Linked DNA regions of Callithrix jacchus. The protein of the gene in region 2 interacts with the protein of the main gene of each other region in a biochemical or structural test. Links are inferred from orthologs where the notes say so. Each region holds a gene or a part of one and is shown on either strand. Other genes may lie near its edges.

What was found.
Region 1: the proteins of ZBTB16 (region 2) and HDAC4 form a complex in vitro, tested with the Homo sapiens proteins (2 studies listed by BioGRID). The link is inferred for Callithrix jacchus from reciprocal best matches to the Homo sapiens genes ZBTB16 and HDAC4.
Region 3: the proteins of ZBTB16 (region 2) and HBEGF form a complex in vitro, tested with the Homo sapiens proteins (2 studies listed by BioGRID). The link is inferred for Callithrix jacchus from reciprocal best matches to the Homo sapiens genes ZBTB16 and HBEGF.
Region 4: the proteins of ZBTB16 (region 2) and HDAC5 form a complex in vitro, tested with the Homo sapiens proteins (2 studies listed by BioGRID). The link is inferred for Callithrix jacchus from reciprocal best matches to the Homo sapiens genes ZBTB16 and HDAC5.

The regions. Positions count from the first base shown.
Region 1 is NC_133507.1:160,740,264-160,744,665, reverse strand, and holds the start of HDAC4 (histone deacetylase 4), read left to right. Parts: upstream 1-1,567; 5' UTR 1,568-1,610; intron 1,611-4,402. UniProt on the Homo sapiens protein: Responsible for the deacetylation of lysine residues on the N-terminal part of the core histones (H2A, H2B, H3 and H4).
Region 2 is NC_133511.1:13,929,752-13,933,478, forward strand, and holds part of ZBTB16 (zinc finger and BTB domain-containing protein 16), read left to right. Parts: intron 1-233; coding exon 234-401; intron 402-3,039; coding exon 3,040-3,269; 3' UTR 3,270-3,727. UniProt on the Homo sapiens protein: Acts as a transcriptional repressor. Transcriptional repression may be mediated through recruitment of histone deacetylases to target promoters. May play a role in myeloid maturation and in the development and/or maintenance of other differentiated tissues.
Region 3 is NC_133503.1:38,719,075-38,723,265, forward strand, and holds the start of HBEGF (proheparin-binding EGF-like growth factor), read right to left. Parts: upstream 2,836-4,191; 5' UTR 2,561-2,835; coding exon 2,515-2,560; intron 2,317-2,514; coding exon 2,143-2,316; intron 1-2,142. UniProt on the Homo sapiens protein: Growth factor that mediates its effects via EGFR, ERBB2 and ERBB4. Required for normal cardiac valve formation and normal heart function. Promotes smooth muscle cell proliferation. May be involved in macrophage-mediated cellular proliferation.
Region 4 is NC_133506.1:70,958,368-70,962,720, forward strand, and holds the start of HDAC5 (histone deacetylase 5), read right to left. Parts: upstream 2,836-4,353; 5' UTR 2,476-2,835; coding exon 2,325-2,475; intron 1,906-2,324; coding exon of another isoform or gene 1,676-1,905; exon of another isoform or gene 1,543-1,675; intron 681-1,542; coding exon of another isoform or gene 628-680; exon of another isoform or gene 455-627; intron 1-454. Other genes in the region: uncharacterized protein LOC118153996, read left to right, coding at 1,676-1,905. UniProt on the Homo sapiens protein: Responsible for the deacetylation of lysine residues on the N-terminal part of the core histones (H2A, H2B, H3 and H4).

The DNA.
Region 1 (4,402 bases), on a different chromosome or scaffold from region 2:
GCTACAGACTGTTTCATTCTACAGGAAAATTTGATGGCGCACCGTTTCCATCAGCAGCTAAGCCTCCAAAACCCCGTAATCGCTCCCCTGTTCAGCTCTATCTTGTTTTAAAATTGTCATTCACCATTCCTTTCCTTCCGCGTTCAGCCATCTCAGAGTAAGCATTTCTTACAATGACCAAAGTTTTCCAATTATGAGTTATTGAGACGTTTAATGTAAAATTGGCATTTTTATTTTGCTAACTGTATTTCTATCCACATAACTACAATATCACCCCCCCACCCCCGCCAAGAATCACAGGTCGAGAATGCCATAAGGACGGATCCTTGCTCAGCTCCGAGGAGGAACGGCCTACAGTCGAAGCGGACGGGCATCTCCGCCAGGCCCAGCGTCCCGGGGCCCACGCAGGCAGGGCCCACGCACCGGCGCGAGCTGTCAAAGGCGCTTCCTCCCTGGAACGCGGGGTTCCGCGTTTCATCTTGTGCACCAAAGATGAAAAGTTGTCACACTCCTGCTGGAAAGAAATGGCAACTTCACCGCCAGGAGGTGGCCACTGAAGACCACCGCCCACACCGTTCGGCTGTGGCCACCAAAGGCGCTCGCGGGGCTGCCGGGCCCGACCTTTAACCACACGAGCCCCCCCACAAGCCCCGCCGCCTTAAAACAACGCCCACCCGGCCACTGCGCCGCTCCCGCCCCCTCCACGTCTGCCCGGCCCGGGACTGGAGACCCTGGCGGCGGCCCGGACTATCTCCGTCTGCGCAGGGATGCGAAGGCCGCGTCCCACGACCCGCCGTTGTAGGCCTGACCGGCCTGCGCTCCGCACCCCCACGGCCGCGTTCCCGCCGCGGGGCAGGGCGAGGCCCGCCGCGCCTGCGCACTCGGTGACCCGGCCGCCCTGCGCCTCCGTGCGCACGCAGCACCACGTGACCTACTGCCAGTACCTAAGATGGAGGTCGCGGCGAGGCCTGGCCGGCTCCCGGCCTCAGCCTGCATCCCATTGTGTGCTCTCTAAGCGCGAATTAGGCTCGCAGACACGCGGTGCTGACCCTTAGACAGCCATGCGGGCTACTGATTGGGACGATACGGCCAGGGCCAGTGTTTACGGTCACTGCTGGCCCCGGGTCCCAGCGCTTCCCCAACCGCAAAGCGAAACACCCAGTGGCTGGCGCCTGGAGCGTCCTTCGGTACGCCCGCCCCCTGGAATTGGCAGCTCCGAGAGCCAATGAGGTCCAGGACGTGTGCGGGGAGGCGGGCATGGGTGGAGCCTCTCTGTCGCTCATAGGGCGTCCGGCCCCGCGGTTGGGCAGCTCCTGGGCGAGGGGTGGGAGCAGACGGGCTGTGCGCAGGCCCCAGAGGACCAATGGATGGCCGGCCAGGCGCCCGGGGCGGGCGGGCAGGAGGCGGGGCCGAGCCGTAATTGACGAGCTCTTCATTAGAAACCAGGCGGCGGGGCGGGGCCCGCAAGGGGAGGTGACGCAAGGCTACCGCAGCCAATAGCTGATGAGCCGCCGGCGGGCGGGGCGGGGCCGGGTCGGCTGACGGGCGTGCGGGGTGGCCTATTGCCGCCCGGCTCGGCGCTGGAGGGGGGAGAAGCATCATGGTTCAACGTGGGTCAATTTTTTGTGAATGAGGAGGGGAGGTTGTGGGGCCGCCGCCGCGGAGCACCGTCCCCGCCGCCGCCCGAGCCCGAGCCCGAGCCCGCGCTCCCGCCCGCGCCGCCGCTGCCGCCGCCGCCCGAGCAGCCTCCCAGCCTGGGCCCCCGGCGGCGCTGCGGCCGCGTCCCGGCTGTCGCCGCCCGAGCCCGAGCCCGCTCGCCGGCGGGTGGCGGCGCAGGCTGAGGAGATGCGGCGCGGAGCGCCCGAGCAGGGCTAGAGCCGCCCGCCGCCGCCCGCCGCGGTAAGCGCAGCCCCGGCCCGGCGCCCGCGGGCCATTGTCCGCCGCCCGTCCCGCGCCCCGCGCCGCCCGCAGGCCTCGGAGCCCGCGGCAGGTGGACGCAGCCGGTCCACACCCGCCCCGCGCGCGGCCGTGGGAGGCGGGGGCCAGCGCGGGCCGCGCGCCGTGGGACCCGGCGGTCCCCAGGGCCGCCCGGCCCCTTCTGGACCTTTCCAGCCGCGCCGCGAGGCGGCCTCGCTCGCCGGGGCGGGGGCGCGGGGGTGGGCACGGCCGGCAGCGGCGCCGTGGCCCGGTGCGGAGCCCGCGCCCCCCAAGCAGGTGGGCTCCGGGCCGCCGGGAGTGAGGGCGGGGGCGGGCGGGCGCCGTTTATGTAACTTTGTCAAATGCTGTGAGTTTGCAGAAAAACCTCCCCGCAGGGGTCCGCGGCCCCGCGCGTGTCGTAGCCGCCGTGAGCCCCCGGGGTTCGTGGGAGGGCGGGGGGCTGCCTGGGACCCCCTCGGCTCAGCCCGTGGGGCGTCCACAGGCCGAGATGGGGCCCGGCCCCGCTCGGGGGTGGGATCCGCGTTTCTCGGCGTTGCGAAAACACACCACAGAATCATAAGCAAATTATCTTGTATTTACATTGAGCTTTGAATTATTTGACACTGTTCTAGCGGGAGACCGTGTGTATCAGTCGGAAGGGCCGGGGGTGGAACCCTGTGTACTCATTTAATGCACATCAAAAATTTGTAATAACTTGAGGCAGCTGATATGAGTGTTTTCTTTATTGCATGTTGTAAATTGACCTGCTGTGACACAATTTTCAAATAAAGCGTTGCAGAAATTAAACTTAAGTTATTTTAAAACTAATGACTTTCTTAACTAAATCCTAATTGCATGACTGTGGAGACCTACCTAATTGCTTGCTGAGAGCAGTTCTGCCTGCCCTCGGTGAGGGAGGAAAGGGCCTGTGTAGCCACTTTGCCGCCCCGTTTTTCTCTATTCAGGCATTTCTGTTTATTCCCACAAATCGCCGAAGCAGTAAGGCCTGGGAGTAAACCTGTAAACAGCCCTGGCTCAGCGCCAGCCCAGCAGGACTGAGGGGGATACTGGCAGGTTTGCACCTTGACCTGGTTTCACTTTTTCTTTTGTAATATGATCGTGGTTGCCTGGAGTTTTAATTGCTTCTGATAATTCTGTGCATTATTTTCGGGACCGTCCAAAGAAGGCGGGTGTGGTGGTTTCAGGACCCAGCCTGGGAAGGTGGTGGCGGTGGCGGCTGGGGAGGGGGAGGGAGGAAGGGAGGGAGATAGAGTTAAGAAAACTCAGCTGCTTGTACACAAATATACACTAAAGCAGTTACAAAGCAGCAAAAGTTATTGCAGAATTTTGCAGTAACTATGGCAACACAATTACTCTATTATAATTGGAAATGCGAAATGCCACCCAGTTAGAAGTTTCATCAGGAAGGAGTTTTGGATATCAAAAATATGAGAGATGTAATTTTTTTTCAGGTAGCTCGTGTGAATTCTAAAATCTGTCTTCAATTACCTATTTTTAAGACTGATCGCGCTTTCCCAGATAGTCTACTCTGGGATCCGTGGCATCTTTCCCCAGAAGAACTCACATTTGTGTGGGAGGGAAGTATTTTCATGTCTTAAAAACACACCCCGACACATTGTAAGACTTGTATAGCTTTCTGTGTTCTGGGCTCTGATTTTAGAGATCAAATCTCGTCCTAAAAAGAGCAGTAATCTATTAGAAAAGAAGCCGCTGTACTCAGCAGGCAGATGTAACGCTGCCCTCTTTAGGGTTCTTTCTCCCTAAAGGCGAGCTGGCAGCAGGCTTGACCCCGGGGGAGCCCTGGGCTAAGAGGCGGGACTGAGGGAAGATGACTGGACGGCATATAGGCCTGGAAGGCCTAGGGACAAGGACAGATGTGGCCTCGGAGCCCTGCACCAGAGACAATGTTCTGTGGTCAGCAGTTTTGTAGCAATGCAAAGTAAAAATCCCCAAGTGACATGTTCTCAGAGGCTTTGGGGGCTGTTGCTGTAGTGAGATGGGCAGAACAACCTGGCACGCGGGCCACGTGTGGCTCAGGCAGCCCATCTGGACTCTCTCTGGCCAGAGACCTGCTTGAGAAGGGTGCCCTGTGGATGTTTACCAGGAGGACTCCAGTGCTGGAAGTTTCCACACATTGTGGGGCTGCTGCAGTGTGATTTCCTGATAACTCTTTCCTTTAACTACTGCATATTTATGCCCAGTAATCGACTTCCATTCTCCAGCTTCATTGTGAGGTTTCAATGCAGCGTGAATGGCTTTGAATTCCAATCCTTTGATGTTGGGGTGGCACCAAAGGAAAGGCGACTTTGTGCTGTCTTAATTGCCAGAGCAGAAGAAACATTTCACTCCTGTAGAATTTGTCCATACTGTTCTCTTGAAGACGGCTGGGCTTTCATAGCTCAGAAGCTGCCATGAGTAATGTATTAGTACCTGATGTAGGGCGCGAAGGAGCCTCAGAGGGCGA
Region 2 (3,727 bases):
TTTCCCAGGACTGGCCCTTGCCCCACAGATGATCACGGGGCCACAGTAAAGTATGGACACATGTGAACACAGGTATTGCTTGTTTATTCAGTGGAGGTGTGGATCTTTAAGTTGTCTTTGGAGGTGGCAAATACAGGTTGTCTCATTCCTCTCATGCACTGAATGTGCCCTACTGTCTCCTGAAGAGGGGGCAAGGAACGGCAAAGACCTGATCCAGCCCCTTGTCCCCACAGGTGACCACCCCTATGAGTGTGAGTTCTGTGGCAGCTGCTTCCGGGATGAGAGCACACTCAAGAGCCACAAACGCATCCACACGGGTGAGAAACCCTACGAGTGCAATGGCTGCGGCAAGAAGTTCAGCCTCAAGCATCAGCTGGAGACGCACTATAGGGTGCACACAGGTACTGAGGGCCAGGGAGGGGCCTGAGCTGGCTCTCAGACCTGGGTGGAGGTGGAAAACCGATGGTCTGTCGGAGAAGCCTAAGTGAGAATGATCCCAGGCTGAACCAAAGAGTAGAAGAGGTTCTATTAAGGGCTGGTATGGTGGCCTGAGGACCATCACACCCCAGTCAAGGCCAAGGCAGACATTACTAATCAATCCCAGCACACTTTCCAATGAGATCCTGCCAGCCCTCCAGGCAGCTATACCAGTGGTTCAGAGGTGACATGCAAAATGATGTCTGTATGTGAGCACTTAGCTGAAAGTGAAGGTTAGGGTAATTTCAGTTGGAGTAAGAATTAGGGTGCATTGAATTAGGTTATTATGAAGGTCGGGAAATTGTAAAGTGAGCTCGTGTTTGGTTCTGAGATTAGAGGAGCAGATACATTTAATAATCCCTGTATGCATATGAGGTTTTACCATTTCAGAGTGCCTTTACATTCTTTTTTTTAAAAACTTTTACTCTTGTTGCCCAGGCTGGAGTGTAATGGCACAATCTCAGCTCACTGCAACCTCCACCCCCCAGGTTCAAGCGATTCTCCTGCCTCAGCCTCCCAATTACCTGGGATTACAGGCATGTGCCACCATGCCCAGCTAATTTTGTATTTTTTTAGTAGAGACAGGGTTTCGCCATGTTGGTCAGGCTGGTCTCAAGCTCCTGACCTCAAGTGATCTACCCACCTCAGCCTCCCAAAGTACTAGGATTTCAAGTGTGAGCCACTGCACCTGGCTACATCTTCTTTATATTGGACAAAGAAATATAGGCTACTCTTTTTCCTGAGGTCAGAAGACAAAATAAGCAGAGGGTCTTCCACAGTTTCCCAAGCTGGGGGCAGTGGAGTCCTGGAGCTGCACGTGCTTTGTGAAAGCTAATTTTTCAGATTTCTTCACAACTTCAAGTTCGGTGACCTCACCTTGGTTGCTCAAAATTGGCCCTGGGAGGAGTCGTCACATCATTGCAATTGGCAGATGCTACAAACCAGGGCTTTTTGGAAAGCCAGTTGTTAAACATTTACCACCAGCACACTGCTGGTTGTGGGGAAGGATGATTCACAGAAGAATAAGAGGTGGTGGAACTTGGAAAACAAAGATGCCCCCTCTGATCAGGGGAGACAGCTGTCCTGTCCAGAGGAAGGAGGAGAGGTGGCCTCAGGCAGGTCCTGCTGGCTTAGGGGAGAGTACATTGCCTTTAGAGGGGAAGGGTAGACCGAAGGAGCAGTAAGCAGAGCTGTGTGTTGTCAGAGCTCAGTATTCTTGCCCCAGTTTGAGCCCACAAGGAGAGGGTGAGGTGTCCATTGCTGACAACTACAGTGACCCAGAGGATTTCCCAGAGCCCTGGGGTTTCCCTAGCCCCTTGTCAGGGATGTGACCTGGCAGGTGGATCATTAACTGTATTGGCAGTGACTATTGTAAATAGCTGGTCGATAGTTAGATCACTTTGGCTGTTCATTACTTCATTATTTGCTGGGGCCTGTGCGTGGAGGAGTATTGATAGCGAGATGGCTGGCCAGTTAATTACTGTATTGAAACAAGGTTCTCTTACATCCTCTGCTCGCCTCCAGGGGACTCTGTGGAAGGAAAGTTGGGGTATAGAAGGCTAGGGTGTGGCTGTGCACTCCCAGGGTCTTTATTCCTCCCATCCCGCTCTACCCCCAATTCCAGCCTCAGGAGGGATGCAGGGTCTGCAGGGCAAGGTCTAGAGTTTTTAGCAGGATAGGCTGGGTGCAGTCGCTCACACCTGTAATCCCAGGACTTTGGGAGGCCGAGGCAGGCAGATCATTTGAGGTCAGGAGGTCAGGAGTTCAAGCCCAGCCTGGCCAACATGGTGAAAACCTGTCTCTACTAAAAATACAAAAATCAGGCCGGCGTGGTGGTGGCACCTGTGATCCCAGCTACTTGGTAGGCTGAGGCAGGGGATCGCTTGAACCTGGGAGGCGGAGGTTGCGGTGAGCTGAGATTGTACCACTGCTTTCAAGCCTGGACAACAGAGTGAGACTTTGTCTCAAAAGAAACAGCTTTAGCAGGATACATGTCCCCAGGTGTAGCATACTTGAAGGGGACACTCGGGGTTCCCTCAGTTTCCCCCCACCTCTGCTCCCCACCATCTGTAGCCCTGAAAGGTCTTGATCCACCTACTCCCTGGATGGAACTGTGGCTTGTGGCTTGAAGAGCCATTCCTGAGGACTTTGGGACCTTTCTCCTTCTAGACATCCATTTTCTTAATTAGAAAGGGAAAGACTTTGGCCTCGGGAGAGTTGAGAATAGTAAGATAAGGAGCTGGGCAATCCAGTAGATTATTAGTAAGACAAGTAGAATAGTAAGACAAGGAGCTGGGCAAACTAGCTACGTGTAGCTATTTAATTAGTTACCATGAAATAAAAATTGGAAAACTGTAGAGCCCCGGTCGAACCAGCCTCGTTCACAGCCGTGTGTAACTGGTGGCTGCCATCTGGGGTGGTACCTTGGTTGTCCCAGGAAGTTCTGTTGGAGTAATCCCTGCTGCAGGAGCCCAGCTTCTCCGGCACCCCCGAGGATGACTTGGGGCCCTCACTGCCCTCTGTCTGTCCTCACTTTCTCCTGCCCCATCTCCCTACCCTCAGGTGAGAAGCCCTTTGAGTGTAAGCTCTGCCACCAGCGCTCCCGGGACTACTCGGCCATGATCAAGCACCTGAGAACACACAACGGCGCCTCGCCCTACCAGTGCACCATCTGCACCGAGTACTGCCCCAGCCTCTCCTCCATGCAGAAGCACATGAAGGGCCACAAGCCCGAGGAGATCCCGCCCGACTGGAGGATAGAGAAGACGTACCTCTACCTGTGCTACGTGTGAAGCGGGGCCCGTGGCGGTGGAGCCAAGCAGGGAGCCAGGAAAGAAGAGTTGGAGCAAGATGAAGTCAAGGAAGGACTGTGAAAAAGAAAAAAAGGAAAAGAAAAAAAAAGAGAAGAGAAAGGAAACCTGATAGCTTTTTGGCCTTGGATTCTCTCTGGGCTCCAGATGACCTGGATGCCAAGCCACTGCCCCTCCTCTGGGGGCCTCCACCCTCCCCTCCCGGCTGGAGGTTTGCCTGATTTTCTGCTATGGGGTGGGGTATGTCGTTCACTCAAATGGCGGCAGATTTTTCTCCTCCCTCCACCCAGTCCTTCCTTTATGTATCCAGAAACGGAGGCTAAGAAGCAGGTGAGCGGTCCTCTGGTAAGAGCCACACAGTCTCTGCCGACCTTCCTCCCCCAGCCCCCCAGAAGATGAAGGGAGGGAAGATGGGGCTGGGCAGCGTCACTAGTTGCTCA
Region 3 (4,191 bases), on a different chromosome or scaffold from region 2:
GCCCACATCCATGGCTACAGCCATCAGTCTAGCAGAAGAGTGAGCATGATACATTAGACTAGAGACTTAGAGTCTCAAGCTGGAAGTGACTTCAAAGAATAACATGACGCCAGGCATGGTGGCTCACGCCTGTAATCCTAACACTTTGGGAGACTGAGGCAGGCAGATGACCTGAGGTCAAGAGTTCAAGACCAGCTTGGCCAACATGGCAAAATCTCATCTCTACTAAGAATACAAAAATTTAGCTGGGCATAGTGGTGCATGCCTGTAATCTCAACTACTAGGGAGGCTGAGGCAGGGGAATCGCTTGAACCCGGGAGGCTGAGATTGCAGTGAGCTGAGATCGTGCCATTGCATTCCAACCTGGGTGACAGAGTGAGACTGTCTCAAAAAAAAAAAAAAAAAAAGAATATCATGGCAGGCAGAGTGATTTACTCAAGGTCACGCAGAATTGGGATTAGAACTGTGGTCTCTGGACTCCATTCCAATGTCCTTCCTCATCACATCAAGCTGCCTCACACCACCCCATCTCCTCCTTCCCTCAAGTCTGGAGCACCTGAGATGCTGAGCCAGGCATGAATGGGCTCTGAAGTCCATAGACCTGTGCTCCAATTTCAGCCATATGACTGTGGGCAAGTCACTTAACCTCTCTGAACCTCAGGTTCTCAGGCAAATGTGGATAGAAGAATAACTATCTCAAAAGGTTGCTGTAAGTGTTAAATTAACCAGGATAACATATCAAGTGCCTAGAACACAGTAGGCATTTAATAAATGGTAGCAGTCATTTATTTTAAGTGATAGGATCCCCAGACTTGAAAAATAGTCCTTGCCCAGCAGAGCCAAGAGAAGGTTAGAGAAGTAGATGCCAGCAACCCCACAGTCCCTTATTTCCTCTCATCCAGTCCCAGGCCACCTCAGAGCTCAGAAGGTGATGCAGGTGGTCAGAGGAACCCAGGGACCAGAGCTTCCAGGAGAGCAAAGCAGGAGGGCCACGCCAATCAGAAAGGGGTGGGAAAAGATGCAGGGTGACAGCCAGGCTCCTGCCGTGGAGAAGGAGCAGTGAGTCAGGTCTGCAGAGGTATGAGGAGCAGTCGTGTGGGTGTGGGGTGGGGGTGGGGTGAGTCACAGCCCAGCCCTGCCCAGCCTAGGAGAGGGCCAGAAGAGTTCAGGCTGTTCAGGTCATGGGCAACCCCAGAGGGCCACTAGGGGAGGATGAAGCATGGAAGCCCAAGGCTCAGTTTTGGAGCACGTGCTTGATTTATACAAAGTAGAGAGAGTACCCAAGGGAAGCTCCTGGGAAGGAGGGAGAAAGGCAGCTGAGGAGCAGGAGGAGCTAGAACAGGTGGGCATCTGTCCAACCAAATATAGTCATTCAGAGTCCCTGCTCTACCCTGGAGAATCTCTTCAGGTCTGGAGGCAGGAAAGCTGGCAGGCTCTGGACTCTGCCCTGTGCCTGTACTTGCCCACAGCCAAAGAGGCTGGTTGGAGGATCTTACACAGCTCTCCCATTTGCAGTCTCCTCAGGAATGCAAGGTGCTCAGGAAGCCTTCAAGTTTCCCGTAGCATTCATAGATACCCAGCACTTTAACACAGCCCCCTAGAGGCCCAGTGCTCACCATTCACCGCCTCACCTACGGCAGCCAAGAGCTTCTCATTCCCTTCTGTTTCCCCAATCTGGTGACAGGTGGATGGAGGAGGCTAACATTGCACATTTTCTATAGATGTGCCTGGGCATCTCCTCATCGGTTACCTCTATTTTATACATAATAGTCATTTTGATGAGGGAATTAGAATTGGCACCCATTTTTACATAGTAACTCTAGGGAAAGCATCTCAACCATTCCTTGTTCCTATCTCCCAGCTTACCTAAGAAGAATGTAACAAACTCAAGACAACTTGCCTTTTTCAATTTGCCCCAAAGTACCCAGAAGGGCAGCAATCTAGCAGGCCAGGCCAATGGCAAGACAGAGAGTGGGACCTATATTCCAGGATCCCCCAGTGTCCGTCAGGCCCATCAGCTTTTCCCCAAGGTTCTCCATGAATATCCCCAACCCACAGTATTGGCCAAACAGCAAGAATCTTGGATCTGTTTATTTTTCAAGAGCCCACCAGGGTCCGAGGATGGACGGCCTCCACACCCACCTCTCAAAAGGTCCAGATCTGCCTCTTGCAAGTCACGGACTTTCCAGTCCCGGCCGCCTCCTAGGGGCAGCAGCTGGTCCGTGGATCCAGTGGGAGGGTCCGGGTTGCTGGTTCCAGCAGCTAGCCCTCTCCGAAGCCGCTCCAGGCTATCGCCAGTCACCAGCGCCGAGAGAACTGCAGGCGAGGGGCCAGGCCGCATCAGACACCCGCCCAGACCCCCGACTAACACGCATCGATGCCCACGCCCCTCCGCCAGAGCGCAAGGGCCCCACCAAGTGGCCCGTGCCGGGGGCGCTGCGGCGACCTTCCCCGGTGCCCCCAGCACAGCGCCCCCATCCCCCCGATCTCCGGGGGCGTCAGCAGTCCTCTTACCTGCAGCCAGAAAGAGCTTCAGCACCACCGACGGCGGCAGCTTCATGGTCCCGCACCGAGTGGAGGCGGCGAGGCACCAATCACTTTGGAGGCGGCGGCCACTGGGCGCTGGCACCGGAGCTGGGCGGCGGAGCTCAGGAGATTCCTCTGGGCACCGTTCGCCGCCCGCCTCTGCGTGCAAGCCTGGCCGCGACCCGCGCGCAGCTCGCTCTCGTTTAGTGTCTGTCTTGCTCACTCCGCCCGCCGCGTTCGCCAGACCCCGCGCGCCTAGGTCAGGCCAGCCAGAAGCTTGGACACCGTAGTTCCTTCGGCGAAATGAGCGCTGCCCGGCGCGCGGCCGGGAATAAGGCTCCGGGAGGCGCCGAAGCCCCGCCCTGCCCGGCGCCGCCCCCTCCCTCCTCCCGTGCTGGGAAGCTCGCCAGGCTCGCGGCGCCTGCAGCGCAGCCCCCGACCCCGCCACGGCGGCGGACCGGGCGGGAGGAGGGGGCGGCGCTCACATTTTTTGGGACCAGGCCGAGGCAGCCGCGGCCTGACTGTGGGTAAGGCTGCTGACTGGCAGGTGGCGGGGAGCGGTTCCTACCTTTCCCCAAACGCCTGTCGCGCTGCAGCCTTGTGACTGCGAGCTGAGTCCTGTCTGGGGCCTGGCATCTTGGGTCGTCTCAGCTCTCTACCAAGGGTCTCCATCCCTGTCACCCTCTAAGTTTTAGAAGCCCACCTTTTGGCCTATCAACATAGCAAGCATCAAATAATAATTAATTCATTTATCATGTAAGATTTAGACGCATGAATGCCAGCTGTATCATGAACCCGAGATAACCAGAGTTGAAGTTGCAGGCACTTGGTATCAATCCAGCAAAAGCAAAGGAAGTTAGTACTCTCCCAGAGCCTGGAGTGGCGTCCTCCCATCTTTCCCCCAGGGACATTAGGATTTTTGAAGTATGGATTATAATTCCCAGGCTTCTGAGATTGGAGAGACACAGGTTGTGAAACAAGCCTTATTCTTTTCCTTGCCTTTGACTGCCACCTTTTTCCTCAACATAAACAATGAGCCTCCCTCCCATAGGACCCAGCTGGCTACCCTAGATTGCTGTTTCACAGGCACGGAGTGTTTCTCTTTCAACCCCTGTGCTTTTACAGGGGTCTTCTGGAGTCACTATCCTGATCCAAAGAAATGAGTCTCTCAGTAGGTATTTCAGTTTCCAGGGACGTGCTGGGGAGAGACTTGTTTGACACAGGGCTGGGTTGGCTTTCAGAGCCCTCAAATTGTGCCAGATAGAGCTCTTGCCTGATTCTGCCTGTGTGTAGGGATAAAAACAGGCCTGCTATTTATACGCAGTCTATCCCACTGTCCCTATCCCCACCTTTGCAGGGGTCAATCTGGCCCTGCCCTCTTAACTTGCCCCCAGCAACCCAGGCCTAGGTTTCCATAGTGCACTGGAATCCTACAGATCTGAGTTTGAATCCTGCCTTTGCTATTTACTGTGTGACCTTGGACAAGAAAATTTCACTGAGCCTCAGTTTTGACATCTCTCAAATGGAAAAAAATAATAACTACTTCGTTGGAAGCTTTTTGAGAAATGAATGTGGGAACACATAAAAGTAGCATAGTGCCAGGCACGGTATAAGCTCTCAGTAAATGTGACCCATTATTATTGTTGCTGTTAATAATAATCACTA
Region 4 (4,353 bases), on a different chromosome or scaffold from region 2:
GTGCAATGGCAGCAACCAAGACAGCCCAGAGAGCAAAGGCTGTCCCTAAAATAGGGTTCCAAGATGCTGCTGGAGGTGGCAGGCAGGCGTACCCTCAAAAGCCCCTTACCCCAACCCCTTGGGAGGCCTGTGCAATTCACACTGTCCAAAGAAGCATCCCTGGACACCTGCTTTTTCAGCCCCAGGCTCTTGCATCCTGTCTGGAGACCGATCAAGAGACGGGGAGAGGGGGTGGGGAGGGAAACACCAGGCTGCCCGGGCCCTCATGGCCGTGTTTATCCGGGGTGGATTTTTTTTAACCCAAAGGTTAAAGTGTTTCTATTTGAAACATCTATTTACATTCCAGAGTCCAAAAAAAAAAAAAAAAAAAACAAGGCAGCCGAGCTCCAGGCCTATATCTGTCCCTAGCCGCGTCACAGACACAGCATCAGAGCTGCGCAGGGGGAACATTCTTAGCCCTCTCCCCGAGCCGCTGAGGTGACTCACGCCTCCCTCCTGCCAGCATGGAGCAAGCCACCACTCAGAAGGCTTGGTCCACCCCCCACATCGGCTGGTGTGGGGAGACAGGCATCTGGAGAGAGGAGGTGCCTGGGGGTCCATGCAGGGGCAGCCAGGCTTAGGGATGGGATGAGAGAGCAGGGTCCAGCCTTCGAGGTTTCTGGGGTACAGTCTGAAAAGAGGTGAGTAAACAAGCCAAGGAGGAAACTCTGGGCCAACTGCTGGCTGCTGCTAGTAGCAAGGAATGGAGGGGACAGGACAGGATGGGTGGACCTGATAAGCCACACAGGGTAGAGCTGCCCCAAGCAAATGCTCCGTGATTATTCTGCCTTCCAAGAGACCACCTTAAGTCCCGGAGGCCATGGACTAGGGGCAAGCAGGCAGGGTCTTTCGCTGACCCTGTGGACTCCAGACCAGGATAAGAACCAGCCCTCTGGGTTTATTCCTTATCCCAGGGGCCTATGGAGCTGGCTCCCAGGCATATGCCCTTACCTCACGGGACTTCATGGGTACACAGTAGAGCTGGTCCTCAAGGTTACACCCTCATCCCAGCCCCAGCCTACAGGGCTGGCCCCAGGGTAAGGCCCCTATCCCCGGGGCCTGCATGGATACCCTGCAGGGCTAGTCTCCAGGGCCATGCCCCTACGTGAGAACACTGCAGGGGTATCCCTGCTCAGGAAGATGATAGGCCATGTTCCAAAGATCTTCTGAATCCTCCCGAAACATTTATTCTCTGACACATCCAAGTCGCACTGCAACATTATCCCTGGGCAGCTCAGAGCCAAATCACAGGGACCTGCAGAGGCACACAGTTCCCACCTTCCAATTCGAAGCTTGGGATGCACTCCCACATATCCATAGGCAAAGACTCCCCATTCACACGTGCACACACATAGTCACCCACACTTGAATGCCAAGCCACTACCAGGAGGGGCCAAGCAGGCATGGGTCCAGCAGGCCCCTCCCTGGAAGAAGCATCTTGTGGTGCCGGCCTGGTGGGGAGGCTGTGCCAGAAAGGCTTGATGCTGCCGAAAGGTTGCCGGGAGTGAGGGAAGGAGTAGCCCAGCTCTGGGGGACCCCACCCCTAGCCAAGAGGCAAAAAAGGTTACTGCTGAGAGGGTGGCAGGATTAGGGGGTCCTAACCCCATCTGAGCCAGAGTAATACCTCTTCATCCTCATGACACGGGAATCAACCCAGACCTGGGGAGAGGAGCGATATCGGGAGCCAGCTAGATGCGAAGGCAGCCAAGCCCCTCAATATCCGAGCTGCCAGCCTCTGCCTAACTCCATCACAACTATACCAAGCCTCCCCAAGTGTCTGATTCTCAGGAGACTCCTGGCTGGGGACTTGGCGGAAGTTACTGGACTTGATGCTCTAGCCCTAAGAACCAAGCCAGAGGAGCCGGGGTAAGCTTTATTCCTGTGGACACCTAGCTACGCCTTCTTCCCTTGCCCAAACCTGGGGAGCGGGCAGCAAGGAGGCGGGTCACTGACCCACTTCCTCCCCTCTGACCACACTGCCAACTAGGCCAGGATCCTCCAGTAACCCCCAGCCCCTAGCAACAGATGCTGACCCTGCCAGAGGCCAAAGTGACTGGAAGTGAAGCAGCAGAGTACAGCTGCAGGGCACAGGGGAGCAGCAGGCTCTGGGCAGGGAGGGCAGGGGCCTCTCTGAGCAGGGATCCCCCAGCCCTGTGTATTCTCAGTGAAACTCTCAAGACAGATCTACACAGGATGCTATCTGCACAAGGCTCGGAGCCAGATGCTCAGCCCAGGGACAAGGATACCCAATGACAGAGGGCAGGCAGGGACACCAAGGCACTTACCTGTCACAGGGATGCTGTGCAGAGAAGTCCGAGGCAGGATTTCCAAGGATGGTTCCCGGCCTGACATCCCATCTGCTGAGAAACAGGATTCTGTCTCATAGATGGTCTGCAGCATCTCCACGAGCCCCTGAGCCTTGGGCACCAGCAGCATGCCAGGGAGGGGACCGCCAGAGGCGGAAAGCCAGCCCAAGGAAAGGTGGTCAGGTGGCCCGCACTGTGCAGGGGTTCCCTCAGGCCACTGCCAATGGGACGCGTACTGTGGGGAAGTGCCTCATCCGGCCTGGGCACTCCTGACGGCAGGAGGGGCAGGGAGGCCCAAGAGCTGCAGGCCCAGCTCTGCTCTAAAGGGGTATCCGACCACCAGCCTTTCCTTGGTTCCCGGGAGCTGGGGTATGGCTGAGCACTTGGGACAGGAAGGGGAGCTCAGCGGGCAGGCGGGCTCTCTGTGTTCCCTCCCAATCCTGGGTGACAGCTCTGGGCCGGCTCCCTGCTCCTCCTTCCCGAATGAGCCACCGCCGGCAGCTGGCAGGAGACTGAAATAGCAGTTGGGGGAGGGCCCTGTCTATAAATAGGTGGAGCATGCTCAGGGAGCTGCGGGCCGGCTGCCAGGAGGCCCCATGGGGGGGAGGCGGTTCTACCCCAGGAGGAAGCGCCAGGCGAGGGGGATGGGAACGGGGGAGGGCCTGCACTCAGGGCCAAGGCCATAGCGATAGGTGGCCAGAGGCTGGGCTGGGGAAGGGCGCTGGCTGGGGTACCCATGCATCTGGGAGCGGCTCTGACTGCTACTTTTGGCAAGCAAGCCAGGGGACAGAGACCAAGAAGCCAGACTCAAGCCTCCATCTGCCCTCTTGCCTTCCAGACCAGGTAAAGGAATAGAAAGGGTCTGGGAGAGGCTGGCAGACAGGCAACTTCCCTGGAGTTCTAACAGCCCATGGAGGTTTGCTTATTCTACCCTCCCACAAAGCTGAGGAATGGAGTGCCTCCTCAGTCCTTCAACCAGCAGAGAGACCCCCAAACACCTGCCAATGGCAGCTCCCTCCCACTCATTCTGGAGTGTCGCCTCCAGAGGCTGCTCAGCCTCAGCTTCTTTCTAGGGGGTAGGGATATTCTTCCTGGGCAGACAGGGGTTCCCTGGTCCCCTTTCCTCACCCCAAGCCTGGGAAAGCGAACCAGGGAACACCTGCCCATTCTCGCAGCACAGGTAGCTCCTCCCTATCCATGTGCCAGGTGTGGTGCTAAGAACATCACATACATCATCTCATTCTGCATGGTGACTTTGGGAGAGAGGCACAGAAGGGAAAACTGAGGCACAGGGAGATGGTCACTCACCCTGGGTCATACAGCTGCTTAGATGACAGGGCTGGGATGTCCGAGACTCAAGTCTGAGCTCGACCCACCACACCACACTGCCTCCCATTTCCCAGGGTTTCTATGAACAGGTACAATAAACCCTGTGCTCAAGTAGGAAGAGACTTGAGGTTGGTGCCTCGCTAGGAAGAGTCAGTAGTCTTTCAGCATCCAGCCATTCCCCACCAGCCAGACTCAGGCCTGGCAGCATAGGCTCTGCTCCCTGGGTCCTAGGGCTGGTGCACTGTGAGGACCCGTGCCACTCCCATGCCCTCCCCACTGCTGGCCTGCCCCTTCTCCTCAGGTTGTGCTCCCACAGGTACAGAGATCCCACTTGGCCCCCTGACCTCACTAGAGCCTTTTAATAGCCTGGTTATTCCTGTGTCTGCATCCCCCTCCCTCTTCCTGATGTCACAGTTGCTATTTTGGAGCCCCCTCCTTGCCCCCCACTCCAGGCATGGAGCCAGGGACACCTGTCCTCTCTCTGGACTGGATGACCTCACCCTCTTGTTGGGAGCCCAAGAGGAGCTGGCCAACCAAGGACACAGTGGCTATGGCTCCTGGAGCCCAATTTCCCAGCCAGCTTCCACCAGTCAGGGATGGCAAAGGGGTCCCCTGCCCTCAGATTGGGAGTAGGAGGATTGGGGGACCACACCTATAGGCAGAGGCAGGGTTTGCCAGG